Linked DNA regions of Caenorhabditis elegans. The protein of the gene in region 1 purifies or fractionates together with the protein of each later gene. This does not show direct contact. Each region holds a gene or a part of one and is shown on either strand. Other genes may lie near its edges.

Evidence for each region.
Region 2: the proteins of gck-1 (region 1) and rpl-3 purify together in Caenorhabditis elegans (affinity purification with mass spectrometry, with the first as the bait; one large-scale study listed by BioGRID). This does not show direct contact.
Region 3: the proteins of gck-1 (region 1) and farl-11 purify together in Caenorhabditis elegans (affinity purification with mass spectrometry, with the first as the bait; one large-scale study listed by BioGRID). This does not show direct contact.
Region 4: the proteins of gck-1 (region 1) and copb-2 purify together in Caenorhabditis elegans (affinity purification with mass spectrometry, with the first as the bait; one large-scale study listed by BioGRID). This does not show direct contact.

The regions. Positions count from the first base shown.
Region 1 is NC_003283.11:8,945,400-8,952,382, reverse strand, and holds the start of gck-1 (Germinal center kinase 1), read right to left. Parts: upstream 3,680-6,983; 5' UTR 3,676-3,679; coding exon 3,148-3,675; intron 2,899-3,147; exon of another isoform or gene 2,726-2,898; coding exon of another isoform or gene 2,693-2,725; intron 2,400-2,692; exon of another isoform or gene 2,138-2,399; intron 1,646-2,137; exon of another isoform or gene 953-1,645; coding exon of another isoform or gene 935-952; intron 526-934; coding exon 301-525; intron 1-300. UniProt on the Caenorhabditis elegans protein: Serine/threonine-protein kinase which is required for normal oogenesis and suppression of germline cell apoptosis. Inhibits phosphorylation and thus probably activation of mpk-1 during pachytene stage.
Region 2 is NC_003281.10:3,865,645-3,871,555, reverse strand, and holds rpl-3 (Large ribosomal subunit protein uL3), read right to left. Parts: upstream 3,703-5,911; 5' UTR 3,694-3,702; coding exon 3,329-3,693; exon of another isoform or gene 3,327-3,328; intron 3,228-3,326; exon of another isoform or gene 3,112-3,227; coding exon 2,976-3,111; exon of another isoform or gene 2,974-2,975; intron 2,928-2,973; coding exon 2,487-2,927; exon of another isoform or gene 2,485-2,486; intron 2,352-2,484; coding exon 2,088-2,351; 3' UTR 1,969-2,087; downstream 1-1,968. Other genes in the region: tir-1 (ADP-ribosyl cyclase/cyclic ADP-ribose hydrolase), read left to right, coding at 1-956, 1,113-1,230, 1,279-1,373; acs-19 (Acetyl-coenzyme A synthetase), read right to left, coding at 4,726-5,554, 5,606-5,911. UniProt on the Caenorhabditis elegans protein: The L3 protein is a component of the large subunit of cytoplasmic ribosomes.
Region 3 is NC_003280.10:7,099,762-7,107,982, forward strand, and holds farl-11 (DUF3402 domain-containing protein), read right to left. Parts: upstream 5,275-8,221; 5' UTR 5,241-5,274; coding exon 5,210-5,240; intron 5,170-5,209; coding exon 4,991-5,169; intron 4,949-4,990; coding exon 4,802-4,948; intron 4,758-4,801; coding exon 4,608-4,757; intron 4,562-4,607; coding exon 4,382-4,561; intron 4,333-4,381; coding exon 2,857-4,332; intron 2,642-2,856; coding exon 2,557-2,641; intron 2,510-2,556; coding exon 2,048-2,509; intron 1,999-2,047; coding exon 1,772-1,998; 3' UTR 1,457-1,771; downstream 1-1,456. Other genes in the region: mmaa-1 (Methylmalonic aciduria type A homolog, mitochondrial), read right to left, coding at 41-130, 250-1,306, 1,350-1,402; rpl-35A (Large ribosomal subunit protein eL33), read left to right, coding at 5,808-5,857, 6,082-6,244, 6,289-6,426, 6,473-6,496; F10E7.9 (Amino acid permease/ SLC12A domain-containing protein), read right to left, coding at 6,730-6,840, 6,884-7,093, 7,137-7,505, 7,554-8,143.
Region 4 is NC_003282.8:9,456,978-9,465,549, forward strand, and holds copb-2 (putative coatomer subunit beta'), read left to right. Parts: upstream 1-2,753; 5' UTR 2,754-2,759; coding exon 2,760-2,921; intron 2,922-2,990; coding exon 2,991-3,479; intron 3,480-3,524; coding exon 3,525-3,658; intron 3,659-3,707; coding exon 3,708-3,940; intron 3,941-4,052; coding exon 4,053-4,368; intron 4,369-4,415; coding exon 4,416-4,767; intron 4,768-4,822; coding exon 4,823-5,064; intron 5,065-5,111; coding exon 5,112-5,949; intron 5,950-6,021; coding exon 6,022-6,162; intron 6,163-6,234; coding exon 6,235-6,330; 3' UTR 6,331-7,043; downstream 7,044-8,572. Other genes in the region: cutl-17 (PAN domain protein), read right to left, coding at 316-361; F38E11.6 (Adenylate kinase), read right to left, coding at 7,337-7,366, 7,789-7,897, 7,946-8,046, 8,094-8,195, 8,251-8,336, 8,385-8,572. UniProt on the Caenorhabditis elegans protein: The coatomer is a cytosolic protein complex that binds to dilysine motifs and reversibly associates with Golgi non-clathrin-coated vesicles, which further mediate biosynthetic protein transport from the ER, via the Golgi up to the trans Golgi network.

The DNA.
Region 1 (6,983 bases):
AAATAATGATAACTCAAATTTGGAAACGAAATTACTTTAATTGAATTTTTCATGAAAAATTGTTGTGATTGTGACTATAAATTGATTACTTTTCAAATTGCTAAAGTTTATCAATATAAATAGAACTAAAGCTGCTCTAATTTATTTTGCTCGTGTAATTGAAAAAAAAACTCAAATAGGTGCTCAAAAATGTTTCAGATTGGTTTTATTATCTTTTTTTTGTTGTATTTCTTAAAAAATTTTCAAAAATAAAACAGAAACAATTTAGATTTTTTAAAGTTTCATTTATAAAAAAAATACCTTGAGAAAGCTGCCAAAATATTTGGTGACATACTGTGAATCACATTGACTGAGCACTTGAATTTCCTGTTGAATATCTTCAATTTCATCTTCTGCTTGTTCAAGATCAATGATTTTTATGGCAACAACTCGTCCAGTTCGATTGTCAATACCCTTATAAACCTCGCCGAAAGAGCCGCGACCAATGCGCTCTTGCTTTGTGAATATCACCTCAGGATCCAGTTTCTGAAAAAAAAATAATTGTTTTTTTTTTCAAAATTTGTAGAATGTATTGAAATAATAAATAATGATTTTGTGCTGTTAGAAAAACCAGTTACAAAAAAAACGATATGCGAGACGTGATTCATATTTATGACTGTCCCATGTACACAAACCCAAATGTGACTCAAATAGTATTAAAATATCGACAGACATACTGAAAACTATACGAGGATGTAAAATAAAATGCATTTTTAAAGTGTGGTGATCATTTAATATTTTCTTCGATAAAGAAAAAAGATTATCGAGACCATTATTAAAACTAATTTTTTGCGGAGAAAAAGAGAAAGGGCTGCACAGCCAATAACATTTTTCAATTATAATTCAAATTATTATGCTTATGAAGCAAGTTAAAAGATGAAGCAAAAAAACTTACAGAATTAGCAAACGTCATAGTGAAAGCTGAATTGTATAGTAAAATTCTTTCTCCAAAATAAAAACAGTTTTTTTCAAACAGAACGGTGTTAGAGACACGGAAATCGATAGAAAATGAGCGTGGTATGTAGATTGCAGAGTATGACTAGTTGCTGATTAGACACACGACACTCCTCTTATGCTCCTAACTATATTTGCGCCTAATGATGAATCAAACACTTAACTTGCCCGCCCTCTTTTCACTTTCTACTCTTTATGCGTTTCTACAGGTGATTAAAATGAACACAGAGAGGAGATTCAATATATATTAAGAAAATTTTTAATTTTCGATTAAATTTCAGCTATACGAACGATTTAAAATCACTTTAAGCGCTAAGCAATGCTCACAAGACGTATAAGCACATTTCTGAATATAATACACGCCTTGGGACTACAAACATAACTAGACCTCCGTCCGATTCTTGCGCCTTCTCTCACCACCAAACTGTACTCTTCCGTACAATTTCTTCTCTATTTCTGCTTCTCACCATCTCTCGATATTTCCCGTCCATCGGGGGGCCGCTGTCACACCGGCAACAGCAGCACACCGTGTTGTTCAAACATTCCGAAACTGTGGTGGTCTGTGCGGGAAGGAAAGAAGCGGGATAGGCTAGGAAACCCAAGTGTAGCGATTTTGGAGCATCAATACTCGATTTGTTCATGTGGAATCAGACATATGTATGAGATTAAATAAGGGTGGGGCTGGAAAACGTGTCCATTCCAAGAAAAAATATCGAACCGGAGCATAAAGAGTCATGAAACGTCTAGATAATATTTTGTGGCGATTGCAGTTGACAATAAAACGACAAACGTCATGAAATAAATAATTTCACAAGTAATACAAAGTCTTTGCAATTGTGTATTCAAACGTGGAGAAAGAACGTGTGAACGGTATTAGAGTGCTAATTACCGCTGCCTGATCAAAAACCGTCCGATTTTGCAAATCGCGTACGTTCCGAGCAGTTGAAAAAACGGCCGAGAAACTGGGAGAATAAAGGAGGAGGATACTAAACGTTTTGAGCAAACAGACTGCATTCCAACGTAGTAACGATTTTGAAAGAAGAATGATTACTTCGCACATTTAAACCATCTTCATCTGTTATGGGATTAGATTCATAAATTTCTTGGAAAGTGACACAAATCGAAGAGAATGGGAGATGCTGAGCGAAGTTTTGGATTAGAAGCCCCCACTCCAGAAGGATAAAATGCATCGAAAATGAGGAGAAAAGCGACAGATTAGTGTATGGCAGACGGCCGTACAGTCCTCGTCAACCGAACGAGAGAGGACGTTTTGCTTCGGTTGGCTACCCTCCCACCATCACGCAGTACGCGTCCGCCGGATACAAATTCATTGGAACGACGTACGGAAGAGAACGTAGACGTACTTCAGGAAGGAAGCGCCAGAATGAGGACACCATTGAGAAATGAATAAGAATCCCGTAAAACATTTCTGTTTCAATGTGATTGGCATTACAAATTGAATTTGAATGCATGTGGTGGCGTATCAGTTCAGAAATGGAACACTCAATTATTCGACACAATTTCACTCTCTAATTGCCTGAATTCGAATCGGAATCAAAACTAGTATTTGACTATGACGGAAAGAGTACTAAAAAACACACACTACACACAATTGCACTTTTGTGCCGAGCAAATATCTACTGTAACCCTCAACAAACAGATTTTTTAAAGGTTTTCGGTTGAAAATTCATAAGCTTACCTCAATTTCGGACCCAAAATTTGTGAAATCCATTGAAAATTCACTCGAGGTCGAGTATTTTGTCAATAAAAGGGGAAGGAATGATAAAAACTGAGCTAATACGGAAAAGAAAATAAATCATCAGCTCAGAGTTCAAATGTGTACGCAAACACCACATCTTACGACAACTTGCAGAGACAGTGGTAAATATTTATTTTTAGTGAAATTGCTTCCAGTTTTCGCAAATTTCCAATGAAATTTAGCTAGTAAAGACATCAGAAAGAGGAATTTGTACAACTAGGTTTATCTTTTATGCTTATAAAATGATTTATGTATCTGGTCAACCATCCAAGGTCTACATTTTTTGTTAAAAATGGGAAAATTATTCGAAAACGGTCATAAATATAAAACACTTTGATATGAGAGTCACATTGTTTTTCGAAAATAATAATGCACTGCTTTCAATTCCGACTCACGCTGTTATCTTCAATTGGTTTAACCACCTTCCGCCGTTCAGCTGGTTTTGGAGGTGACACTTCAGGTGACATGACATTCAGATCAACTGATAAACTCGATGGTAGTACAACTTCTGGTGTTTGCTGTGGATGCTCTGTTGAGTTGTAAATTCCTTGTATGGTTTTTCCGAAATTCGAAGGTTTGAAACCAGTCTCGAATCTATTCAACGTGGCACTATCGATAGAATCATCCATTTTGGAATCATTCATAATTCCATATGTCACATGCTCGCGTGGAGGTGTGATTTGTGGAAAATATGAATTTTGTTCCACAGGATACACAATGTTAGTGTTGACAAACAACGGTGAATCATAGGAATTCTGTTTTTGTAAAAATGGTGGTGCCGGTTCATCTTTCAAAACTTCTCTGAATGGCTCAGATTCTCGATATGGTGGAGCAGAAACAGGGGCTCGTTTCTCAAATCTTTGTATCGCAGATTGAACATTAGTTGTTCTCAAAATTGTGTCAGTGAAACGATGATCGTCCATACCTGAATTAATGAAAATTGTACAAGCTCCGATTTTTCAGAAGCGAAAATGCAAATCAAAAGGAAATCGAAGAGAAAGGACAGAAGGCGCCAAAAAAATAAAACGATAGGTGAAACGAGCGAATCGATAAGGAGGCAGAATTATGCCATAAAAATTCCTGATGCGTGATGCATTTCGATAACACGAGTAAAGAGAGTTTCGTCTGTGGAAATAAGAAGGGAAATGACAGCTCGACAAACACAAGTGTGATCGTTCAGAGCAAAACCGAACAGATTTAATTGATCCAGCGTTTTTTAACTCTTGTAAAAAATCTTTAACTCTTAAAATATATATTTTTTTAAATAAATCCGACCTGATTTCGAATGTCTTGTGAAACATTAGGTATTTTTGGACGCAATCATTAGAATTATACGTTTTACAAAATTTTATAAGATAAATTGAAAAAAAAAATTATTTTTAGAAAACAACAGAGATGCTGGTCAACTTTGCCGCCATGTTTGAAGAAGTTGAGAAAATCGAGAAATCGAAAAAGCAGTGAAAACCCTAGACCGAATTCTCAGACCGTGCACACTTGAAAGAAGTCGCGAAATGGGTGAAATTCGATACAAAGTCAGTTCAGCTTTTTGTGCTCAAAGAGGTCATTTTTCGGAGTGAAAGACACGTAAGGAAGAAAATGACAGAACGAGGAAAATAGTACAATTTCGGATTATTCATATTTGTTGTGTCAGTCGGCCGGCCCGCAAAAGTTTTTATAATCTCAACGGTCAATAGTGTTTTACAATTACTTTGGACATTGCAGGAGGTATTCTCCAACCTTACCTGAATATAAATTCGATCCCATTTCATTGAATCGTCGTCCGCCTGTCGAGGAAGTTCGTCTGATGATGTCGTTGTCATTGATTGTGATGACTAAAACATTTTAATGTGAAATGATTTGAAAAATAATAGAAATAGTCCACGTTGGAAGAATACGAAACAATTTTTGTTGGTAAAACAAGAGAAAACGAAGAAACTCATTCACGCGTGATCACGTACATGATGCGCGGATAGTGAACACATTTAGAACTACAGTAACCGAGTCTGACCGTTTTGAACGCTTACCGTATCACCTCTATTAATTTTGCATCCTGCTACATCATTCTGAAAGGCTTATTTTGAATCAATAAATAATTAACTACAAACGATAGGAACAGCGAATGAAAAATATGTTGTATGTTAAACTTATATAAAAGCTGACAAAGTAGAATACTAATAAATAGAGGAATACGGTAGAGACACTTCACTATTCAATTTCCTGAAATCCCTGAAATACTTCTTACAACAGAATACAAACAGTTTACTGTGACATAGCAGTAGAAAAACATTTGTGACGTCACAAAGTACTGCAAGATGTTTCCACTATAACTGAAGATCAGACAGTCAGATAACCCTCTGGATACATCCCGGAATGCCTCTAATAGTCTTGCACACATTAATTTACTTTGACACCTTTTATCTCGGATGATTTTTGAGATACCAAAGAAAGAATTTTAAAAACTATAGTATGAGAAATATAAATGTTTTTGGCAATTATCAATTTTTGATGAACTTAAATGTATGTATTCGAGATATGAGCCGACGCAGTTGAGCGTGCTAGACTATTAGAAATACGGCGGTAGTTGAACATTTTAAATAACTCATTTTGGTATTTAGAGCTCAAAAAAAGTAGCATTCATAATAAAACGTATTTCTCATAATCAGAGAAAACTGTTGTTTTTGGCCTACAATTGCAGATTACATATTCCAAAATTGATAGTATTACTTCTATAGAGAAAAAGTGATCAAGAAAATCGAAAAACGTTTACAAAACATCAATCACAAAAACAATTTGATTCGAAAATATCGGGATCAGTCTAATTATTCAAAGAATCCACCTGATCCGCAATAGTGTCCGGATTCCTTTCTGTTTTTGAAATTATTCAAATGATGTTCACAGTTGGATACTATTTGAAATTCTCGAATCATCTTATTAAACTCTCATTCTCTATTTTCGTTTTCTACGATTTTACTGTTTCCACAGTTTTTTTTCAGTTTTCTTTCCTCTGATGAAAAAGAACAGAGAAACATTAAATCATCACCCTGATTTTTTTTAATTCTGTATATCTTTCAATTCATTTTGAAGCCTTTTCTCTCTTTCTCAATCTGTCATCACCTCTATTCAGATCTTTTTATCATATCTTTATCCAGTCGACCTCGCCCATAATCAACAGGCTAAAAAACCCGCTTGTCCTCAGTGATAAACCTTGATATCTTAGTCCCTTAGCCTTTTTCTCCCCGCCTGTTACGCAACAACAGTAGTGTACACTTTTGCCATTCCAATGAAGCTCTCCTTAATTGGCACGATGTCTAGATTGACTTCCTGCCATTCGAACGACTAAACATGGCCATCGGAAGACTATTAACTCGTTTTCATCTTCATATCCTCCCCTTTCTTCGCCCTTTTTAGACAATTCACTTTCAGTGTTTCTTTTTTTGCCGGAATATCTCAACTTCTTCTTCTTTATCCACTCTCTCTTCCATGTCGTTTTCTACAATTTGCATTAAAAACTAGCGAGAGAGAGATTGTGTGAAAGTATGCCCTCGGACATATTTCAAAAAGTAAAAGCGATTGAATTTGCCGATATGGATATATGAAGGTGCATGGCAAGATTTGCATGCCATTCTGGATTTTTCACTCAAATTTATCGGTCGCACCTTTTACCGTAGTCTTCTTAATATGATAGATTCAACAACTTCCAATGTAGAAAACTTTTCTCCGTGTTTTCTATTTGTGACAATAAAAGTTAATGTTCCAAACAGTGTTAGCAGTATGATATCGATTTGCCCATCAGGTCCATTGCCACATTGACACACATGGTGCACACCCTCGAAATCTGCCACAATGCACACTTCCTGATATGCGCAAAACTGTATTTAGAATATTTCTCGCATTTGGTTACCTTTTTTGGAAACCATTCTTTCTCCTTTTAATAATTAGGAGAAAGTTTCCCTAATAATCAATTTTCGTTTTGGTTTTATAAAGTCTACTGTATGTATAAAAATATATTATAAAAAGTTCTAGTTTATATCTGATCACTGTTCCAAGACATGCTGATTAATCACTTTGATACTGATTCGTTAGTTTTACGGTTAGTTTTACTATAACTTTTAAAAAAGTATATTTTCAGTGTTCCTTTTTATTAAAGGAAATGTATACTTCATCTCAATAGCTGGAACACTATTTTATTCGCGTATCTTAAATTAACTAAAGTCGTTTGTTCCTCCGGCAG
Region 2 (5,911 bases), on another chromosome or scaffold:
TCACGGTTATCGGCGAAGAGGTTCCCTATAAACTCGCTCAACAAGTACCTGGCTGGACATGCGCAGATGTTCAATATTGGGTGAAGAAGATTGGTTTTGAGGAGTACGTTGAGAAGTTCGCTAAACAAATGGTCGATGGAGATCTTTTACTTCAATTAACTGAGAATGATCTGAAGCATGATGTTGGAATGATCTCTGGACTTCATCGAAAACGATTCTTAAGAGAGCTTCAAACATTAAAAGTTGCTGCTGATTACTCATCGGTTGACGAGTCGAATTTGGACAACTTCTTGATGGGATTAAGTCCAGAACTTTCTGTTTACACCTACCAAATGCTCACAAATGGAGTCAACCGGTCTCTTCTCTCCTCACTCACCGACGAAATGATGCAAAACGCTTGTGGAATCACGAACCCGATTCATCGACTCAAGTTGACACAAGCATTTGAAACCGCAAAACATCCGGATGACGTGGAAGTTGCAATGCTCTCCAAGCAAATTGATGTCTTCATTTCATACAGAAGAAGTACAGGAAACCAACTCGCAAGTCTCATTAAAGTACTCCTCCAACTCCGCGGATACAGAGTGTTCATTGATGTCGATAAGTTGTATGCTGGAAAATTCGACAGCTCATTGCTCAAGAACATTCAAGCCGCCAAACATTTCATCCTTGTTCTCACACCAAACAGTTTGGATAGACTTTTAAATGATGATAACTGTGAGGATTGGGTGCACAAAGAGCTGAAATGTGCATTTGAACACCAGAAGAACATTATTCCAATCTTTGATACTGCATTCGAATTCCCAACAAAAGAAGATCAAATTCCGAATGATATTCGAATGATTACAAAGTATAATGGTGTTAAATGGGTTCACGACTATCAGGATGCATGTATGGCAAAAGTTGTACGTTTTATTACTGGAGAGTTGAACAGAACGACACCGACCACCAAAGAAGTGAGTTTATTCACAAAATATTATATTGCACGAGCACAAAAATTTGAGAATACGTAATGGTAACAAAGAAAACTACAGTACCTCCTTTAGTGACTACTATAGCTCTTTATGTGCTCGATTTTCGAAGGTTTTATCAATTATATCTTTTATTTTCAGATGCCTTCTATCTCCCGAAAAACTACCCAACAACGGTGGCAGACCACAAATACAGTAAGCCGTACTGGGCCATCCAGAAGCATCGGTGGACCAAGAATGGAACCTCCTACGCCAACGTGTAAGTTGTTGAAACATCGTCACTTGGTATATTATTTAATTTTTTTAGTCTTTTCAGTTACACCAACTGGATCACAAGAACGTGCAACATCGACGAGAAGGAAAATTCAGCCTTCTGCATCCACAACTTCCGATCGGAATTAAGTCTCTTCTTTAATCAATACATCAAGTGCCGGTTCATTTTATCCATTTTCCAACAAAAAACCAATTTTCTTCAACCATCCCAATATCAAATATCAAACTCCCAATGTCTTTCAATCATCCCACACGAAAGTTTTAATGTATTTGACCCTCATTTTAAATCAGTCAAAACCTCAAAAAAAGTGTTCCACAAAAAACTGGAAATTCAAAGCGTAGAATCTATGATTTCAACTGTCTCTCTCTCTTCCTCATTTACCCAATGCCCTGCCGTTTTCTGCAAATAATAATAATAATTGTAATAATCTCTATAAATTATGTGATTGATGTCTTTATGAAACCAAAAAGAAAACTCTGAAACTTCACTTTCTTATAATCTTTCTGTTTATATATTCCGATCTCCATCTGTTTCATTCGTTTCACTTTTTCTGTTTTATTTCCTGCAACGTGTAATAGTCGATCAACCCCCAACTCAGGAACCCATCAAATTCGAACCCTTTAACTCCCTCTTTAAATTGAACTTTTTATCTTAACAATTACCGGGTCTAACACCCTTCCAGATTTCTAATGTTATACCTAATGAATGTTTCGGATTATTATTCTTCAATACAAGCAGCATAGTCCTTCAGATTCAACAAAAAAGCATACTCAAAGTGTATTCAAAATGTGAACAGTGAAGAAACATTTGATAACAATAACAATTTATTTGAATAAACAAATTTAAGCCTTAGCTTCGGCCTCGGCAAGGAAATCTCTCTTGAGTTTTCCCATGAAAGCACGCTTCTCGGCTGTGGTTTGGAAGCGACCGTGTCCGGTCTTGGAACTGGTGTCGATCCACTTGAGGTTGATCTTCTCGTGGGCGACTCTCTTGGTTTGGGTGATGAGCGACTTGCGGAGGGTGATAAGACGCTTCTTTGGTCCGAGAACGGCTCCACGAAGCATGATGTAGTCCTGGTTGACGATACCGTATCTTGGGAATCCTCCCTAAAACAAAACAATTATTAAAAATTCATGAAAATTGATTACAACGCCCGATGTTCTCAGATAAAATATAGTCGCCATACAGAGTACGAATTGCAGACTTTTTCTTCATAGAACGGTGAAAAAAATAAAACGAACCATTGGGGTGATGGTCTTCTGGGTAAGATCGAACTCGGTGGATCCGTTGTTCTTTCCTTCCTCAGTGAGAGCAGACTTTCCAATACGGTAGATCTTGTTGTTGATGATGGTACGGTGATGGAATCCCTTTTGTCCAGCACGAGCGACAGTGAAGGCGACACGAGATGGATGCCAAGCTCCAATACAGGCGACCTTGCGGAGACCCTTGTGCGTCTTGCGAGGAAGCTTCTTGGTGTGCCATCTGCTGGTGACTCCCTTGAATCCGTGACCTCTGGTAACTCCGATGGTGTCAATCATCTCATCCTGAGCGAAGACGGTATCAACCTGGACTTGTTTCTCGAGATGCTCGCGAGCCCAGTCGACCTTCTGCTCGATGGTTCCTCCGTTGACTTGGATTTCGACGAGGTGAGCCTTCTTTTGGCGACGGCGAAGGATCTTCATCTGCAAAATATAACTTAAGAATACAAACAAACTAAATATAAATATTACCTGAGTGTGAGCGATCACACGGATAGAAGAGCAGTACTTCTTCAGCTTGGCGAAATCAGCCTCGATGAGCTTCTTTCCATCCTCATCTTGCCACTTCTTGGCGTACTTGGTGAAAGCCTTCTTCTTGGATTTAGCCCTGTAGTTTCTACGATTACGAACAAAATGCCTTTCAGCGTACAGGACGCTTTAGCCACTCAGTTCGTTTACCATCATGTACATAAGTACAGCGGAAGGCAACCGACTTAGAAACGCGACTGCAAATACAGACTTGTAATCACGAAACCACCAAATGACACCAAAAACGCACCATAACACTGAATACAAAAAACGAAATAGTTGAAAAATAAACTAACCAGTTGCTGTAGAAGCGACGACGAGCTTCCTCGGACAAGTGCTCGGCCCAGATGGTGGTAAGAGCACGTGGTCCTTGTGGGGTGTCGACGTATCCGGTAACTCCAGCAATAACCATTGGTGGGGTCTCGACGATGGTGACGGCTTCGACAACCTCCTTCTTGTTAACCTTTGATCCTGGCTTATCGACATCACGGACGATATGGGTCATACCGGCCTTGTATCCGAGGAAAGCGGTCAAATGGATTGGCTTGCTCTTGTCATCCTTTGGGAAAGCCTTGATTCTTCCACGGTAAGTGCGGGAGCGCTTCTTTGGGGTGAATCCCATGTGTCCATGTCTCGGGGCCGAAAACTTTCGGTGAGACATTGTTGTACCCTGAAAAATATTAATTTTACGAAAAAATTATAGAAAAAGCATGAGCGAACAAAGAATAAAAATTGCGTTTTCGGTTAAAAAATTTTTTAAATAACTACTTTTCTAGACAGATACTAATTTGAACATTTTAAATTTAGAATTGCACGTAAAAAAACAAAATTTATTCGAAAAAAACATGAAAATTTTAGGCTAAAACAAATTGAAATGAAGTTTAGGCCAGTGAAAGGCGTTGGGAGACCCACACACTCGGCGCACACTTGTGCGTCGCAAAACACGCTTTTACCGTAGCTGTGGCGGCGGAGTGTACAAGTGTACGACAAGCGCGGTTGTTTGAATTCGATTTCTTTCGCAGTTGGAGAGATTCTGCAAATAATAATGTTTTTAAATACATTGTTTTTTAACGGGAAATATTCATGTAAATCAAGTTTTATTTTGAAGCATCATTATATAATCAAGAAAATCGATTTGCTTTGTTCAAACGGCCTATCAAAACAACACACTTTATGCTTAAAATAATTCATTTTCCTGTAATTTTGCAATGCAAGTTAAATCAAATATTATTTTGTATTGAACTTTCGTGGTTTTTATCATAATTCATAAAAATTGAGCTAAACATCAGATTCACTGGGCATATGAAATGCATTTCTCCATGTAAGTATTTAATCTTCTTCTTGTAATTTCATGTTTCGTGTTTTAATTATCCGAATAAGCCAAAATTGTTATCTGAAAATCTGAAATTGAGTTAAAACAATTAATCAGTTCTGAATCATTTACTTGTTTTCTAATTTCGAATTCAGGGTTCAATAAATTACTGGGGGAAATTACAACACTGGAATTTAATTCTACACAGGAGTCAATCAGGGAATGCATCTTGATTACAAAGAAGGTCATGTTGGGGTTAAAAGTTTAGATCTTGCATTGATTCTGCAGAAATTACAACGATAGAGGGGGAAAAGAGAAGTAATACAGAAAAAGTAACATTAATAGTAAGAATTGAATTGATTTACAATTGTTCAAGTTCGTTTATGCACGTGCAGAACGTCCAGAGATTAGTTGTTTGATGACAGATTCGTCGACTAGAGTAGTAGTATCACCGATTCCACTTTCGGATCCTTCAGCAATCTTTCTCAAGATTCTTCTGGTAACCTTGCCGGAACGAGTTTTTGGAAGTCCTGGAGCTTCTTGGATAACATCTGGAACAGCCAATGCACCAATTTTCTCGCGAACTAGTTTCTTGAGCTCAGCCACAAGCTTTTCATTGATTCTCTCTCCAACATTCAAAGTGACGAATGCGTATGGGAAGGATCCCTTGATGTCATGTGGAGCAGCAACAACGGCAGCTTCAGCAACTTTCTCATGAGCCACAAGAGCTGATTCAATTTCAGCAGTAGACAGAAGATGACCACTGACATTCATCAAATCATCAACACGTCCAGTTATCCACAAGTATCCATCTTCATCACGTCTGGCACCATCTCCAGTGAAATAGTATCCATTGAATGGAGCCAAATAGGTCTTGACAAAGCGTTGCTCATCTCCATAGATTCCACGCATCATTCCAGGCCAGGCACGATCAAAGCATAGTGATCCTTCTCCCGGACCTTCAATAACACGACCTTCAGCATCCAAAAGAACTGGAGATGCTCCGAAGAATGGCATTGCAGCTGCTCCTGGCTTCATTGGAGTTGCTCCTGGAAGGCATGTGATCATGTGTCCTCCAGTTTCAGTTTGCCAGTAAGTATCCACAATGGATACATTGGAAAGTCCAACTTGCTTGTACAACCACATCCATGCAGCAGGATTGATGGGCTCTCCAACTGTTCCGATAACCTTGAGAGTTTTGCGAGAAGAGCTGAAAATTAAAAATAAAGATGCTGAACAATTATTTTTGAATAATTATTACCTTTCAAGCCACTGATTTCCGAGAGCCATAAGAGCTCTTGCGGCTGTTGGTGAGGTATACAGCTTGGTCACACCATACTTATCAGTGACATCCCACATTCTAGAAGGAGTCGGATAAGTCGGCACACCTTCATACCAAATTCCCTTGAGCCCATTCATCAAAGGTCCATAAAGAAGGTACGAGTGTCCGGTGATCCATCCACAATCGGCAGTACACCAGTAAACATCGTCTTCTTGTGCATCAAAAGTGTATTTTGTGGTTGCGTAGGCGTACGTCATGTATCCAGCTGTAGTGTGTTGAATACCT
Region 3 (8,221 bases), on another chromosome or scaffold:
ACAAATGTAGAGTTATAAAGGGGTAAAAATGAGGAGTTGCCTAGACGCCGAAGAACGTTCTGATCATTGTTTCTGCAGCCAGACCAGGGGTGATTTTTCCACTTCGAATTTCATTTTCCAGTTTCGGTGCCTGTAAAATTGAAAATTTAGAATTTATCAAACAGTATTTTTTTTTAATTCAGTATTATATTTTTTGCAAATTCTTTTGAAATATCGTTTTGATGGTGTATTTTAAGAACAAAAACGTACCAAATGTGCTATTTTCGGATGCTTTTGGAAAACGGACATAATTTCGTCTTTAACATGATTCCACATCCATTTTTTCATTTGATCCTGTCGCCTTCTTTCCAAATCTCCTGATTCTCCGATTGTATCCCAGAATTCGTACAAACTCGAACAAACTTCTGATACAGATTCTTTATCCATAATTGAGGATCTCATAACTTTTGGACGCCATACATCGAGTCGTGGTCGCATGAATTTCAACGCGGAAATGTATTCAGCCTGTGTCATCTTGGCTTTCGCTTTCAAATCTCCATCATCTTTCGTCACAACCAACAAATCACTCATCTCCATAATACCTCGTTTAACACCTTGCAATTCATCTCCATGAGCAGGTGACAACAGAAGACACATCATATCACACATATCGGAAACGGATGTTTCAGATTGACCTACTCCAACAGTCTCAATGATAACAATATCGTATCCAGCACCTTCGCAGAGGATCACAGCTTCATGAATTCCACGAGTGACACCACCGAGCGATCCAGAAGTTGGTGATTGACGAATGTAGGCTTTGGGATTACGAGATAATTCTTGCATTCTTGTAAGATCTCCAAGAACAGATCCTCCCGTCATGGCACTAGTGGGATCAATTGTTAAAACTGCAACTTTCTTTCCTCGATTTTCGGTTAATTCTGCTCCTAATGCTTCAATGAAAGACGACTTTCCTACTCCTGGACTACCAGAGATTCCTACTCGAAATATCATAGAATCTCTCCCGAATTTCTTGTATTTCTCTCGTTCTTCATCTAAAACCATCTTCAACAACATATTTCCTTGTGCTCTTTTTGTCGGATGGCGAGATTCAACTAGTGTGATTGCAGAAGCCAGGGCAGCTCGACTTCCGCTCATCAATGATTTGAAAAGTTTCTGCACATTTGGATCATCATATGTGACAGAGTCATCCCAATGAACACGAGAATATTGTTCTAATAGATTATCAAATGGCATTGATTTCTGAACTCCAGTGACTGATGGAATATAGGGTTTTGGAGTTGAAGATACTGCTAACGATGCGTGTCTGAAAATTCTATTTTCTTGATATTAACGATAATAAATCTCACCTACAACTAGCTGAAGTGAGTCTGGATACCCGAAGCAATGATCTTACTACCATCTGAAACAATAAGATAGACTTGGTAAAACGCATAGTAATAGAAATAAGAGATATCAAGTGTTGAAACGTTTCAATGATCAAAATAACAAAACAACGATGTTATGTAAACAATTGAATTCATTCGGTTTTAGTCCAATTATTGGTTCTGACAAGGAAAAATTAAATATTTTCGAAAAATGATGGTTGGTAAAGTATAAGGGGGCATGGGGAGATCTAAAATTTCAAACAAAATTTCGATTTACAAGTTAGTTATCATTGGGGAACAAGGGAACAATAAAGATGAACTCGTTTTTATCGTTAAAGAAGAATTAATAACTAATAATTAGTTATTTACAGATTTTTGTTCAGTGGAAACGGGATCGAATCGATTTACATAAGATCTTCCACTCCACGTGTCTCTATCAGAAGTTTATCCCAATCAATACTCGCATTGAAGACTTCCTGTTCAAGCCACTTTTCGTAATCTTTCTTAAAATGACGTCCAAGTTTCAGATTTGCACCAAGAACAGAGTGAGCACACGTGTCAACGGGCTCAAAATCTCTCATATCAACTCGATTCAGGTAGTCGTCACCAGGCATTGGAGCATCATTCACTTCTGAAAATTTAATTTTTGTTGCTATAAGCTTTTGTTATTTTAATCTTACCAATAGCAAATTGAGGATATAATGCCGAATATCGTCTACTATGGAATCTTTCGATGCTTGCTTTGATCAAACTGTCTTCTTTTTGATAATCACACTTTCTCTTGATATCAGAAGCAAACGCCCAATCATCGGTCATTCGATGTCGAACTCTCGAGTAGATCGCCGAAATTATGTCCATATTACTTTTTCTCCACTGGCGTCCAAGGTATCGTGATTGCATTTTGATCGCTTTCAGCACGTAAAGTTGTAGTACCGATACTCGTACTTTGAAAAGTCTCTTCAAAACTGGAGCAGATTTGAACACCATCAGCATTTTAACTCGATCGTTTTTAGCTTTGACCAATTTGTTGAGTAGACGAATGAGATTGATTGCGAAGAAAACATTTCGCCACATGAAATACGGGCCAGCGCCAGGTGGACGTGGTTCTTCTATATTGTCTTGAGTCAAAATTGGCCATTCTTCTGAAAAAGGAATACGAAAAATTTAGTTTGGAATAATTAAGACTCACCATTATTTCTGACATAATGGTACAAACATTGTGGATAGTTGTAGGCGTAGATTTCATGTCTTGATTGGATTAATTTGTTTGTGTTCTGTAACAAAATGAAATGAAAAGCAGAAAGAAGAATCTGATTTTGAAGGGAAGGGCTTCAATTTTTAAAGTCTGCACGTATATTTCACATGCCACTCATTGAAGAATGAGAAACGCAGAGAAAAGGGTGGGGCGATGGATAGATCGAGCGGCAAATGAACTTTGGTGAGGCAAGATCGCTTTTGGAACTTTGCAAAAGAGCAACAAGTGACATACCTGATCGAGAAACTTTAAAATCAAGGGAATTCCATTCACATATACAATCTGTTGGCAAATGTATTCGAATTGATAAATGTGATTCAGCTTGAAGTGCTTAACTAGCAAAAGAAGAATTGCTGATAGTGATTTAACGATAATCTCTTTATGGCGGTTGATGTCAATGGCAAGTCGGAATCCTTCCTCCAATGGAGAAGATGTTGAATTATCGAGGGATATTGAGTTTGATAAAATATCAGATGCTTCCATTTCAGGCGTTAAGCAATCAATCAGTACATTTAAACCTTCATGTCGTGCTTTCGTTGATGGCACTGACGAAACCATAACCTTCACCAGAGCACAAATATATTGACTCAAATTTGGCAAAATTTTCCTGTACAATGTTTCGGTTTTCGTTTCTGGGATATCCTCCTTCATTGAAAATAGATAGCGATTCAGTTCTTCATCTTTTTTGACTTGCAATTCTGTAAGTGACGTGTACATGTTATTTCGAAGAATTTTTACAGCTCCACAGAAGGAAGGAGGCAAGCCAAAAAGTGTTGTATCATCTCCAGGGTCAAAATCATAGTTGAAATACTTGAAACGACCTTTTTGAATAAAATCTTCAATATCCTGAGCGTTCGTTTTGCTTCTCCAAGGCAGAGTTTTCTTCTGGATTACCGGGAAAACTGGGGAACCAACTCGTGGTGTTTGCTCACCACTTCCCTGTCTGAAATTCGAAGCAGTATCAGGAATGGAGGGTGGGGTTGATGATGAAGCGCCTGGAGAATCTTCTTTCTTTGAAGCAATCGTTGAGTCTTCGGAGCTCGCTTCCGAATAAGCGTCTTCGTCTTTTGAATCATCATTATAAGCCATTTGACGGGCCATCATACCGCCTCTCGCAAAACTTCCAGCTCTATGAGCCATATTACGAACATGTTCTTGGTCTTTTGCGATAAATGCGGCCTGTGATGCAGCTACAGTTATAGTATCCTCCATTATATCAAGGCCAGCAGTCATTCGTTTCTCTCTTTTACGAACAGTAAGCTCCTCCCAACCTCCAAGCGTCAGCAATAAAATTTTCCAGATAAGCAGGACAATCTTTTTAATTGGAAAATGTGGTGCAGTTCCTATGTAGAACGGATGAAGCATGTCGAAAAGTACAATAAGAAGAGGCTCATTTCCATTTTCGATTGGTTCTTGAACTTCTTCGCGAAACGCTTTTCTGGTTTCAAGATCACTATCGGTTTCGTCTTCTCTTCCAGATCGCTCATCGAGAATTTGAACAATCATATGATAAAGTCCAGCGAGAATTACGCGAAGCATTTCATTATCAACCATAGTTGGCAACTGCCGCGTTCTCCATTTTTCAGAATCCGAGAGATCGGCTAAACTGGCATTCCTGCTACTTCTTGAGCTTGCTTTTGAAATTCTCCCGTCGTTCGGTGGGCTCTCAAATGGTTCTTTAATTTCTGTCATCAACAGAGTACACAACGCCTGAAAATGTACATTTTTAAAACAATGATTGAAAATTATAAAGATATACCTGGTAAACGCCGTTCTTATAACAAATGAAAGAATTCTCGATTGCACGATGGTAGACCATTGAAGGGCCCTCAGGGTCCATTTCTTTGGTTTTTCGAATAGGGACATTCATCAACAATTTTTGATCATACTGATATTCAATTTCCTCATTTTCTAAACATCCAAAGTCTGTTGCTGATCCCTGAAATTTAAATAAATATATATCGAATAACAAATGAGAGACAAACCTGGAGCAGAAAGAGAATTATACGAGCTGATTTCAAACGAACTTCCAAATCTGCACTTTCCATTCGAGAGCAAAGGTCTTGAATAACATAATTTTTTTGGACAGCACTAAATTCTTCGAATGTCGATGGAAACTGTTCGTGCTTGCCGTCCTGTAAAAGAAAAATAACTATTTTCCTGTTGTAAAATCGCTTGCATATGATTCCTCTATATATTCCTTCCAGTTGCTGATGTTAATACCGAACTCTTCTATTTCAGAATAACTGTAAAGTTCTGCCATTTCACGAATTCCTGCATCACCGTCACCATACTCGAAATCTAGATCTTTATCAATGGCGGCAACCTGCAAAACTGTATTGTTTTTCAACTTCTTCATGAAAATTACATTATCAGAGCTTTCATGATGAATGAATCCGCCATACGCTGGAGTTATCATAGGCTGAGCTTCTTTCAGTTGCTTCAATTTCAAAACATTTGCTGATCGTCTTGCGGCCAGTGAGCTTTCGGAGTATTCAACATGTTCATCATCAGCACTTCGCCTTTCTTTGTCACCATAAACTGGAACTATTAGGAGGTTTATTTGATGATATATTCATTTTCTCACCGTCTTCTGCAAAATTAGGCCTGATTCCCATTACATTCGGCTTTCTCGTTCAGTAGAACTAAAAATGAGTATTTTATTCAATTGTCAAGCGCAAGCAAATTCCGTAAGAAACTATTATATAAAAAAACAGGAAAGCAAAAACAAAACAATATTTTTTGCAATTTGCTAAACAACACGCACTACGACACTCCGCTTTAACGTTTAGATGTGCAGGCATTTCTACCGTAGTTATTTTGCGCCTCGACTCGTTTTACGGAATTTTTTCTTTTCTTTTACCAATTTTCATGCTGGCCTACGAATTTTTTGAGCAGAAAATGGATATTTTTGTAATAAAATCAATATTATCATGTTTATCTTATTCCCCGCTGTTCTCTTACTTGGATCATTTACGAAAAACCACTTTTTGATTTTAGGACTTCGTTAAATCTCGATTTTTTGTAAAAAGTTTCAACTTACTTATTCTTCGCAATTATTCTCCAGTCTCATAAAAATTGTTAAAACAGTTATCTGAAAAATGTTCATTTGTTATTTCGTCGCTATTTCGTTTCTCCGTCCACTTTAAACTTCTTCACTAAATTAATTTTCGTTTCAGGTAAAAATGGCTGACACCGCTGTTGCTAGAAGACCATCGGCCCCAACTACTGGACGGTATGTTTTTGCTTTTTTTTTTTAATCAGTGACCGCTGGATATTTTTGAGCTCTGCTGAAAAATATTCAGACTGCAAATTCTTCATATAGTCTTTAAAAAATGTATAGTAGCATTATCCTAACTATTTCTAGTCTTATCTAATCCGCGGCATTTTTTTCCATTTTCTCGGATCAGCAATTCACAAATCAGGACATCAACAAAATAATAATAAATTAATTTTCAGTCTTTACGTCAAAGCCATCTTCACCGGATTCAAGAGAGGACTTCGCACCCAATCCGAGCACACCTCGCTTTTGAAGCTTGAGGGAGTCTTCAACAAGGAAGATGCTGGTTTCTACGCCGGAAAGCGCGTCGTCTACTTGTACAAGGCCCACAACAAGACTTTGGTATCGCACATATATTTTTCAGTTTAATTTTTTTTTCATTTTAGAAAACCGGACACACCGTCGCCACCCGTACCCGTGCTATCTGGGGAAAGATCACTCGCCCACACGGAAACGCCGGAGCCGTTAGAGCCAAGTTCCATCACAACATCCCACCAAGTGCCCTCGGAAAGAGAATCCGCGTGGTAAGATAATTCTAGTTTTATTCAATTGCACATTGATTTCTTTCAGCTTCTCTACCCATCCAACATCTAAGTGGTGATCTTCTGTTATTGTTATTGTTCGCAGTTGTAATAAACAGTTGTGACTTTGAATGTACGTTTTAAATTGTGCAAAATCACATTCTATTGAAAACATTAATTCATATAATTGTAAGTTTATTGTGAAACTTTCTCTTCTGGAAACGTATATTTTCTAAAGTTTTTATTAACAAAATTGGAGCGATTTAAGGTTTTAAGGATGAATTATAGTTTCTATTGTTAATAAGATTAATCTAATTGATGAGAAACATTCTCCGAGTGATGATATTGTCGTCTGTCTTGATAATCTGGATTGGCCTCGTTTTGTTGGGAACTCGATACGCCGCTCGTAAATGTTGTCTGAAAAAAAGAAACTAATCCTGGTTCAAAAATTCGTTCTCACCTCTGGCAAAATTGTTGTGGCACCTGATCGCAAAGAATCTAATGAAGAAAACACTGTTTTGAACATGTGACATAACGAGAAAGTTGAAATTCCCGGACCACAAGTTGGGCAGACTCTTCCAATGTACCAATACAACGCGATGAGAGCGACAAAATGAGCTACAGCAAACCAGAAATGAATTAAGAGAAGGATTGCCAAGTTCACCAGAAACTGAAAAAAATACTTGAAAAACTTTAAGATATGTACCACTCACTCCCAGAAAAGACACGTATCTGTTGCTGAACATGGAATACCATGTTGCTTCTTGGGAAATTATTCCAGTTTCAGTTTCCTCAGTGCTTGTAATATTGACATCTCGTCGCTCGGGAAACAGCTCATTCAGATCGTTCATCTTATTCGTGGATCCGTAACCGACAGTTTCAACTTCATCTGCATGTTGTACAGTAGCCAGGTCATAGCTCATTGCAAGTGATACGTATGAATAGTTGACATATGCATAAGTTATCAAAAAAGGCATTGTTGAAAGAATGGCAAGTTGATTGAGATCTCCTAGAAGTACGAATAAAGATGCTACACCCATTAAAAGATATCCAGCTAAAACAGGATTATCATTGGGTCCAACCTGAAATTATAAAAAAATAATTTTTGCGCAGGTCCTTATGAACTATACCCCTCTCGCAAGAACATTCAAACATGGTATAATTCCTTCTTCAGCTATGCCTTGTAAAACTCTAGGTGTTCCCAGTAGTGATCCAACAGTTGACGAAAGTGAGCAAACATATAATCCAACAAGGAAAACGATTCCAGTCAATGCAACTTTTTCAGAAATCATGACATCACAAAGTAGGAACATTCTATCTCCAACTCCACCAAGAATCATAATAAAAATAAAACAGATTGTAGAACTGACACCAACAGCAGATAATTCTCCAAGTGGAATGCTTTTATGAGGATCTTTTAAGTCACCACTCATGTTTACACCCGCCAGGACTCCTAGGAAATTGGCAAAGAATACTCCGAAAACTGTGAAGAATGATTGCTCAGGAATTTGACGTGGAATACCAATAATTGAGCAATTAACAGCTTCATAATGAGAATCTGCATTCACTCGAATTCTTTCAGATGAGAAACGGAATACACCAGATTCCGGCTCACTACTGAAAAGAGCTCCAAAAATGAAATCAGTTACTGCAAGAGCAATCGTCAAGAGAAGAACAATTTGAAGACGGACAACCCAAGTGACACCTGCTGTGTTGACTGCTGAAAATTTAATTAAAATTAATAAAATGCAGGATAAATATAATTATTCGGACGCAGAAAATGGGCCTTGTGAAATCG
Region 4 (8,572 bases), on another chromosome or scaffold:
TAATTGGTTATATGTTAATTTGTTAACTTTTTAACTAAGTAATAAAGCTCAAAAAAGTATTGACTAAAGTAAAATTAAAAAGTTGAGCAATGTTTGTCGCCTGCGTAGATTTGTAGACGTTTTTTTTCAACTAATTGAGTTAATTCAAATATTATTAATGCCAATTTCTTCTGAACAGTAATGGTTGCCGGAAGAATGTTCTGAAAGAAGTTCTGAAACCACCTGAGAGCTTGAAAAATATATGTTGTTCTACATATAATGGTTATACCGTAGTTGTTAGATTTCTAAATTATACGTGAATTTTAGGGAACTTACCTTGAAGTATAGGAACCAGAAAACCAAGTAAAGTAATAACAAGCATCAATGTTCAAAAAGTGTGAAAAATTTTCGGAACTGAGGAAACTTGAAGTTAGCAACGTTAGCCGTTTTCTCGGAAGAAAAGGTTGAATGGGAAAGTGTCTTTCTAGTTCGTTTCAATAAATCGGTGACCTGAATATTATTGTATTGTGTGTGTAGTCGTCAATGAGAAGTATCCAGATAGAAGGCAGCTTCTTCTTCGTCATCTTCGTTGACTTCTCTTTTCACTCGATAATTGCTCGCTCGCCTGTCCGGCTAATGAACCCCTCGGAATGAAAGGTAGAAAAAGAGAGAGACTGTGCCAAATGACGAACAGTATCGAAACATGTTTCGGTAATTATATAACCGTCAAAAAGTTGAAAGAAATTCTGAATTGAGAATTTTTAAGCAAGAGAAAAATTCGTTGGGTTTTTTTTTTAATTGCATCAAGGTTGCAACTTAACACACACACAGAGAACAGAACAAGAGACTCGTTGTTCACCTCATAAGTCGTGCACAGAATTAGTAAATACAGGGTGGGCCAAAAGTATGGTAACACGTTTGCAGCTCTATAACTTCACGTGTGGAGGGAGTTATTACATCAATGTGTACAAGTTTTGTTCTCCATAAAATACTGACCAGATTAACGTTTTGAATTTTCAAAATATCCCCATCCGCATTGCTGCAGGCCTTCAGAACTTTTGAGATCACGATCTTTATGGCACGCAAGTCGGCATTCTGCGGGATTTCTACATTTTTCTCGAGGAATCCATCAAGTATCTTACAAGTTTTTATAGTTCAAAGAATGCTCTTGGTCTGGAGATTCTTTAAAAACAAAAATCCAAAAAATTTCTATCGTGGTATTTCTGTACGGACTGTGGCAGTAGTTTAGGTCTTGAATGACACAGTCGCCAGAAAGATGGATGTGAGCGGCGGCACCAGTATTCATTTTAGTACTTTTTGGCACGGTTTGACCTGAATTTTCAGAATTTTTAGAAAAAAATTAGCTCTGCTGATTTTGTGGGTCGTTACGCCTTGTGAAACCAAAAAAACTGAGTAAATTTCGGAAAGTTTAATTCATGAAATATTCAAAGGTTCTTGCTAGGCGCCAGTGTCGACACAGAAAATTTTTATATGCTACAAAAACAATCAAAAACGCTTCTTCATTTCTTTAACTTTCAATTTAACATAAAAATCATACATCTGAAAATTATTGGCGTGCGTGGGAGGTGCGTTTGTGTGGGAAGTGCCGCGTGCCAAAATGCCGTTTTAAAAAGGGTTCGCCAAATTGCCGAGGTGATTAAAATCGCACCTTATTGGGAAACATTACAAATTTTGGGTCAAATTGAAGGAAATTTATTCAGCTATCAGTATTCGATAGAAAAATGTACGTATGACGTGGCAGTCGCGCGAAAATCTCATGTAAAAGAGCGCTTCATGTGTTACCATACTTTTGGCCCACCCTGTATGAACATGGGTTCGTACCATGGAACCACAACGAAAATGACCAAAAGTTCCATATTTTTGAAGTCCCACAGAAAGCTATTTATTTTCTACCAGTTGTTGCATTACGTTTTGATTATTTGTATTTGAGCATTGTGTTGTCAATATTATAAGAATCATACCATTTCCACACACACACACACACACATTTTACATAAATAATTAGCTAAATTTATGTAAATTCTCTTGATAATTTACAAAAAGAACGAGCAAAATCGGTTATTCTTATTATTCCTGACTCGTATCGAGTACTCTTTCTACTATAATATTGCTCTTGGTTTGGACATTGTGGAGAACACAACAATAAGCAAGAAGATTGCCATAATCAGGTAAAACTAAGGCTGCAAAGGGGGCCTCTTCGATTTTAAGATATAACTGAGTTTTTTGAAAAATCTAAAACGTTTAAGGTTGTCCAGAGCAAAATTTGCATAAACATTCAACAACTTCACTATCAGTTTCAAAAAAAGTTGATTTTTCTCGTAATTTTTTTTCATTCATTTTACAACATTTCCTGAATGCAATTTTATTTATAAAATCTGCCACGAAGCAGCCACCGTTCGTAAGAGACACCTCACAAATGTGAGAAACGCAGACAAAAAAGTCAAAGGCACGCCGACTTTCCCGCTGTGGTCTCGATACGATCGGGGCTTTCTGAGTTGGCGATGGATGCGCCTCTACCTTTTGAGTGTTCTATCGTTTCGCCAACGTATCTTTTGATGAATTTTAAGATTTTCTTCTAAAAAAGATTAATTTCGGTTGATTTAAACATCTGAATTCTAAAAATCCAGAATATTATCGATTTTTGAATGTTCTTTCGGTTTTATTTTATTTCTATAAGCTGACTATTTGCAAATCTTCCTCTTCGTGCTCAGCTTAATTTTACATTGAGTTTATTTATTTTAGCTTTTTTTCAGAACAAGATGCCTCTCCGACTTGATGTAAAAAGAAAGCTTCTGGCTCGTTCGGACCGCGTGAAATGTGTCGACTTGCATCCAGTCGAAACATGGCTTCTAGCTGCTCTTTACAATGGAAATGTTCACATCTGGAATTACGAAACACAAACGCTTGTAAAGTCATTTGAAGTAAGCTTTTTTTCAAATTTATGTGCAAACTTCATGAAATTACGAAATAACTGAATCTAAATTTTGCAGGTGTGTGACGTACCAGTTCGTGCAGCGAAGTTCGTTCCAAGAAAGAGCTGGGTTGTCACGGGATCTGACGATATGCATATTAGAGTTTTCAACTACAACACATTGGAACGAGTTCATCAATTCGAAGCACATTCTGATTATCTCCGATCGCTCGTTGTTCATCCAACACTTCCCTACGTCATTTCATCATCCGACGACATGCTTGTTAAAATGTGGGATTGGGATAACAAATGGGCAATGAAACAGTCATTCGAAGGGCATACTCATTATGTCATGCAGATTGCCATCAATCCAAAAGATAATAACACTTTTGCAACTGCTTCTCTTGACAAAACTGTCAAAGTATGGCAGTTCGGATCGAATGTTCCGAATTTCACTTTGGAAGGACACGAGAAAGGAGTCAACTGTGTCGATTACTATCATGGTGGAGAGAAACCATACATTATTTCTGGAGCTGATGACCATCTGGTCAAGATTTGGGATTACCAAGTAAGTTTTTTTTCTCTTTGCATTCATCCAAAATGATATTTTCAGAATAAAACGTGTGTGCAAACGCTCGATGGACATGCGCAAAATGTGTCTTCAGTTTGTTTCCACCCAGAACTGCCATTGATAATCACAGGATCCGAAGACTCCACTGTTAGATTGTGGCATGCAAACACCTACAGGCAAGAACATTAAAGTACGATTTCCACAACAACAATTTAAAATTTTTAGACTGGAAACAACCTTGAATTATGGGTTGGAACGTGTTTGGTGCATCCAAGCTCAAAAAGGAGCCAACACTATTGCCATCGGATACGACGAAGGTTCCGTCACGTTGAAATTAGGCCGAGAAGAACCAGCAGTCAGTATGGATTCGTCTGGAAAGATTTTGTGGGCAAAGCACTCCGAAATTCAGCAAGCTAACCTGAAGACAATCTCAACTGAAGAGTCGGAAGCCATTCAAGGTTTGGAAAACTTTCATTCGACTTTTGTATAGTTCGGCACATGTTTTCTGAAAGTATTAAAAAAAGAGAAATTGTGTTCATTTATTATCACTCTAAGACAGTTCATTTACAGATGGAGAACGTCTGCCGCTTTCTGTAAAAGATCTCGGATCTTCTGAAATCTATCCACAAACCCTTGCTCATTCATCTAATGGACGTTTTGTTGTCGCTTGTGGTGACGGAGAATACATTGTTTATACTGCAATGGCTCTCAGAAACAAGGATTTCGGACAAGGACTCGAGTTTGTCTGGGCTGTTGATCCAAATATGTTTGCTGTCCGTGAATCTGCCACCAATGTGAAGATAAAGAAGAACTTCAAGGATCACAAGTCAATTCGTTCAGATATGGTACTTGAGGGAATTTCTGGTGGACCACTTCTTGCCTTGAGGTTTTTGAACTCTTATCAATTGACTTTTATTTAATTTTTTGTTTCAGATCGAACAACTCTTTGTGCTTCTTTGATTGGGAATCAGCCGTTCTTGTTCGTCGTATCGAAATTACTTCCAAGAGCATCTATTGGAGTGACAACGGAGAGATGGTCGCAATTTGTGGAGATGATTCATTCTACGTTCTCAAGTACAGTGCTGAAGCAGTTGCCAATGCAACAGAAGTGACCGAAGACGGTATTGAAGACGCGTTTGAGGTTATTGGAGAACAGGCAGAAGCTGTGAAGACGGGATTCTGGATCGGGGACTGCTTTATTTTCACCACTGCACTCAATAGAATCAACTATTATGTCGGTGGAGAAATTGTCACTATTGCTCATGTTGATAGACCACTTTATTTGGTGAGATTTTAAAACATGCGTTGTTCTTATCATTTTTAAAACTTAAATATTTTAGTTGGGATACATGGCTAAGGAATCTCGAGTCTATGCCGTCGATAAGGATCTCAACGTGATCTCATACAAACTTCTTCTATCTGTTCTTGAATATCAAACTGCTGTAATGCGCCGTGACTTCGATACTGCTGACAAGGTACTTACTACAATTCCAAAAGAGCAGAGAACTCGTGTTGCTCATTTCCTCGAAAAGCAAGGATTCAAGAAGCAGGCTCTTGCGGTCTCTCAAGACCCTGATCACAAGTAAGACAATTTTCAGCTTTTCAGCAATAATTTTGGAACGTTTTCAGATTCGATCTCTCGGTAGCTCTTGGAGATTTGAAGACTGCCTACGATTTGGCACTGCAAAGCGATTCAGAAGAGAAATGGAAGGCTCTCAGCAACGCCGCCACTCTTAAGTCGGAACTTCTTCTTGCTGGTGAATGTCTTGGAAGAGCTCGCGATTTCGGAGGTCTAATGCTTCTTGCAACGTGTGCCGGATCAGCTCCTCTTCTTCAGAAACTTGCGGATGACTCTGCTGCTGCCGAAAGCCACAATATCAGCTTCCTCAGTAGTTTGCTTCTTGGAGATATTGATGCTTGTCTAGACAAACTTATTTCGACTGGTCGCCTCCCAGAAGCAGCGTTCCTTGCTCGAACACATGCGCCGTCTCGAGTTTCATCTATTCTTGAATTGTGGAAAGCCAAGGCTTCGGGACACAGCGAAAAGAGTAGCAGAAAGATTGGAGAATCTCTTGCCGATCCAGTGAAGTATGAAAACTTGTTCCCTGGATTTACCCAATCACTGAAAGCAGAATCTTTCGTTCGTGAGATCTCCAAGATTCCAGTCCCAGCATCCGTTCGAGTGCCATCAGCTGCTACCCGGAATATTCAAGAGGAATTGGATGAAGCTGTTGCTTCGGGAGCAGTTTCTTTTACTGATGATGGCCAAGCAGTACTTAAGAATGCCCCAAGACAAACCGAGACACAATTGAAAGCTCCACCTCCTCCATCAGTTGCACGTCAACCCTCGCCTGTACGCCAGCCATCCCCTATTCGTGAGCCATCACCGATCCGCGAACCTGAACCTGAAGAAGAGGAAGAACAGGAAGAATTCGATGATGATCAGCAAGAGGTGCATGTTCCAGCTGTACGTTTTGAACAGTTTTTTATTCATATGGAATTTGACTATTCGTTGCTAGAATCACCAATTTATTTTCAGAATCAAGAAAGTGCCGATGCTCATGGAACATCTAAAACTCCTGATGTTGTTCTTGAGACAAGCCGGCCTGATATTGTCCCACCACGGGGGTCCGCCGCTCCAGATTTGGTTTCCGCGTCTTCACAACAATCTGCTCAAGATGTAAGTATTTATTTATAAATGTTTTGAAAATTATATAAACTGCGAAAATTCAATCAATTAATCCAATTACAGTTCCAAGATGATACGCAATGGTCAGATGAAGATTTTGGAGATGCTGAAAATGGAGACCTGAATATGGACGATCTAAATTTAGACGAGGAAGATTGACTGGTAGTCGATCGATCTGCCCAACAAGATCAGAAAGACTGAGTATCAGTGTTATTTTTTTGTGTATGTAATTTAAGCCCCCCCCCCCCCCCCTCCCGTCCTATCAATGTCCCCATTCCATCCGTAATTTCATGCACAATTTTTTGACGAATGATTCAGAGCAGATCGATCGATAGATAATTATTTTATTTTTCATGTTTCACCCCAAAAAGAGGTTTTTTTCTAACCCATCTGGTGTCGGTCACTCTCTAACATTCTTTGGGAAATTGTTAATTAGTATTATGGGAATGTGATAATGTTTTTCTTATCAAATAATTATGTAATTTATAGTGTTTTTGGCGCACTCGTCTTTTTTTGTGATTTTTATTTCTACTGGTCACTCCTGTCGTAAGCTCCCTTTGCCAACTATCCACCCAATTCATCCCTCCCCGTTTTCATATTTCTGCCTTCAAAATCACATAACTTATTGAATTTTTATGTTTATCGCCCTTTCTGATTTATAAGTAAACACTAAGTTATTTCCAGCTTTTTTGTGCGGTGTTTTTTGTATTCTAGGGGTTTTCTTCGAAGTTTTGTTCTATGGCTTTTTCCACTTCTACTATCATCCTCCCCAAAACTTTCGTGTTAACGAAAAAATGATGTAATGAGAGTTTTATTGATTGAAATGATTTTTTTTTCTTTTAACCGTGTTTGAATAAACGGAACAGAAAGTGTATGTGTGGCTGATCAGGAACAATTTGTAGATATTTATGTCTACACAAGTGATAATCAAAAGGCACTTCAAAAAAGGAGCAAAATGATAAGAGGCGTCGAGCCGATTTCAATACGGAAAAAGCGTATTCGGCGACAATCCGATACGATTTTTGGCACGGAATCCCATTTGACGAGGTTGAGCCGAAACTGAACGAGCTTCTCTTTCCATTGGTGGCTCTTCAGTATGTCTTGAAATTCGTTCGGAAGATTCGCTTCGCCGCTTGTTTAATGTTTCCGACTCGACGCCACCCCGTCAACTGTCTCGTGGTTGGCTTTGTTCTTTCTGAAATGATCATGATACTATAACAATATGATATAACATGTCGAAATTTTGTGAGATTTCTTTAAATAACCTAGTTTTTCAGTTCTCATAAATGTTTATTTTTGAATCTACACATTTCACATTTCCTTGATTTTTTACGATCCATCACTCATACGAAAACATGTGATTAATTTTGTCCCGCTTTCTCAAGGGGACTCCAAAAATTGTATATAATACTCAATGTATGCTCCTTTGCACGGAAATCTTTAGTAAAAGGCGAAAGATTTTCACGGTTAAATGCAGAGGAACCAGAGTTGAAGTGTTAGCTCTCCTCTTGAATTAGAATGAATACATGTGCGGACATTCTGCGGGTTTCGCCAACGGTTGTATTACCTATGGAGAAGGGACGGGACAGGCACCATAAAGTGGGAAACAATACTCACTTGTTTAAGATATAGAAGAGATATATTTTGAGCAAAACTTGTTGGAAATGGTTCAAAGAATAGAAATAATTGACGAGACGATGAAATACAATTGACTGCAATTCGAGTTCTGAAATAAAATTATAATAATTAGGGTATTGGATATCATGAGATTAACCTCATTTTCGGAGGTTTGTCGTGTTGCTTATTTTTGATAAATTCATCCAGATAAACCTCTTTCTTCTTTTCCATAAAATTAATCCGTTTGAACTTCTGCAACTTGAAATTAAAATTATTTATATATTTTTTGAAATTAAAAATGAAACCTCCGCATCTTGATTCTTGAAACTTGGAACCACTACCAAAAAGTTATCATCATGGCGGTTATGGCTTGCAATATACCGGTATACAGCTGAGATCTGAGCAGTCTAAAAAATTAAAAAAGGTTTATGGTTCAGTTGAAAATTTAATTTGGAAACTCACCAAATTGTCACTTGCTCTACCCAATTCTCCAGCATTCACTAACTTCAACTTGTAATATGTTAGATCAATGTCATCGTGTGCTGTTTCTGAAAAAAACATTATTGAGAATCATTTTAAAACAGAAATATAATTACCAGTAGTGAAACAAATAATGTGATCATCTTTCCTTGTCATTGTAAATCCAAGTTTTAATAACGTCTCTCTCGTGGTGTTTACAAGATTTGGAACGGCTTCTGCTGTTAATGACATTGATACAACTCGACTAGATTTACGAAAATATTGAAGAAATGGTTCGGCACATGTATGATATTCAGCTATTCTT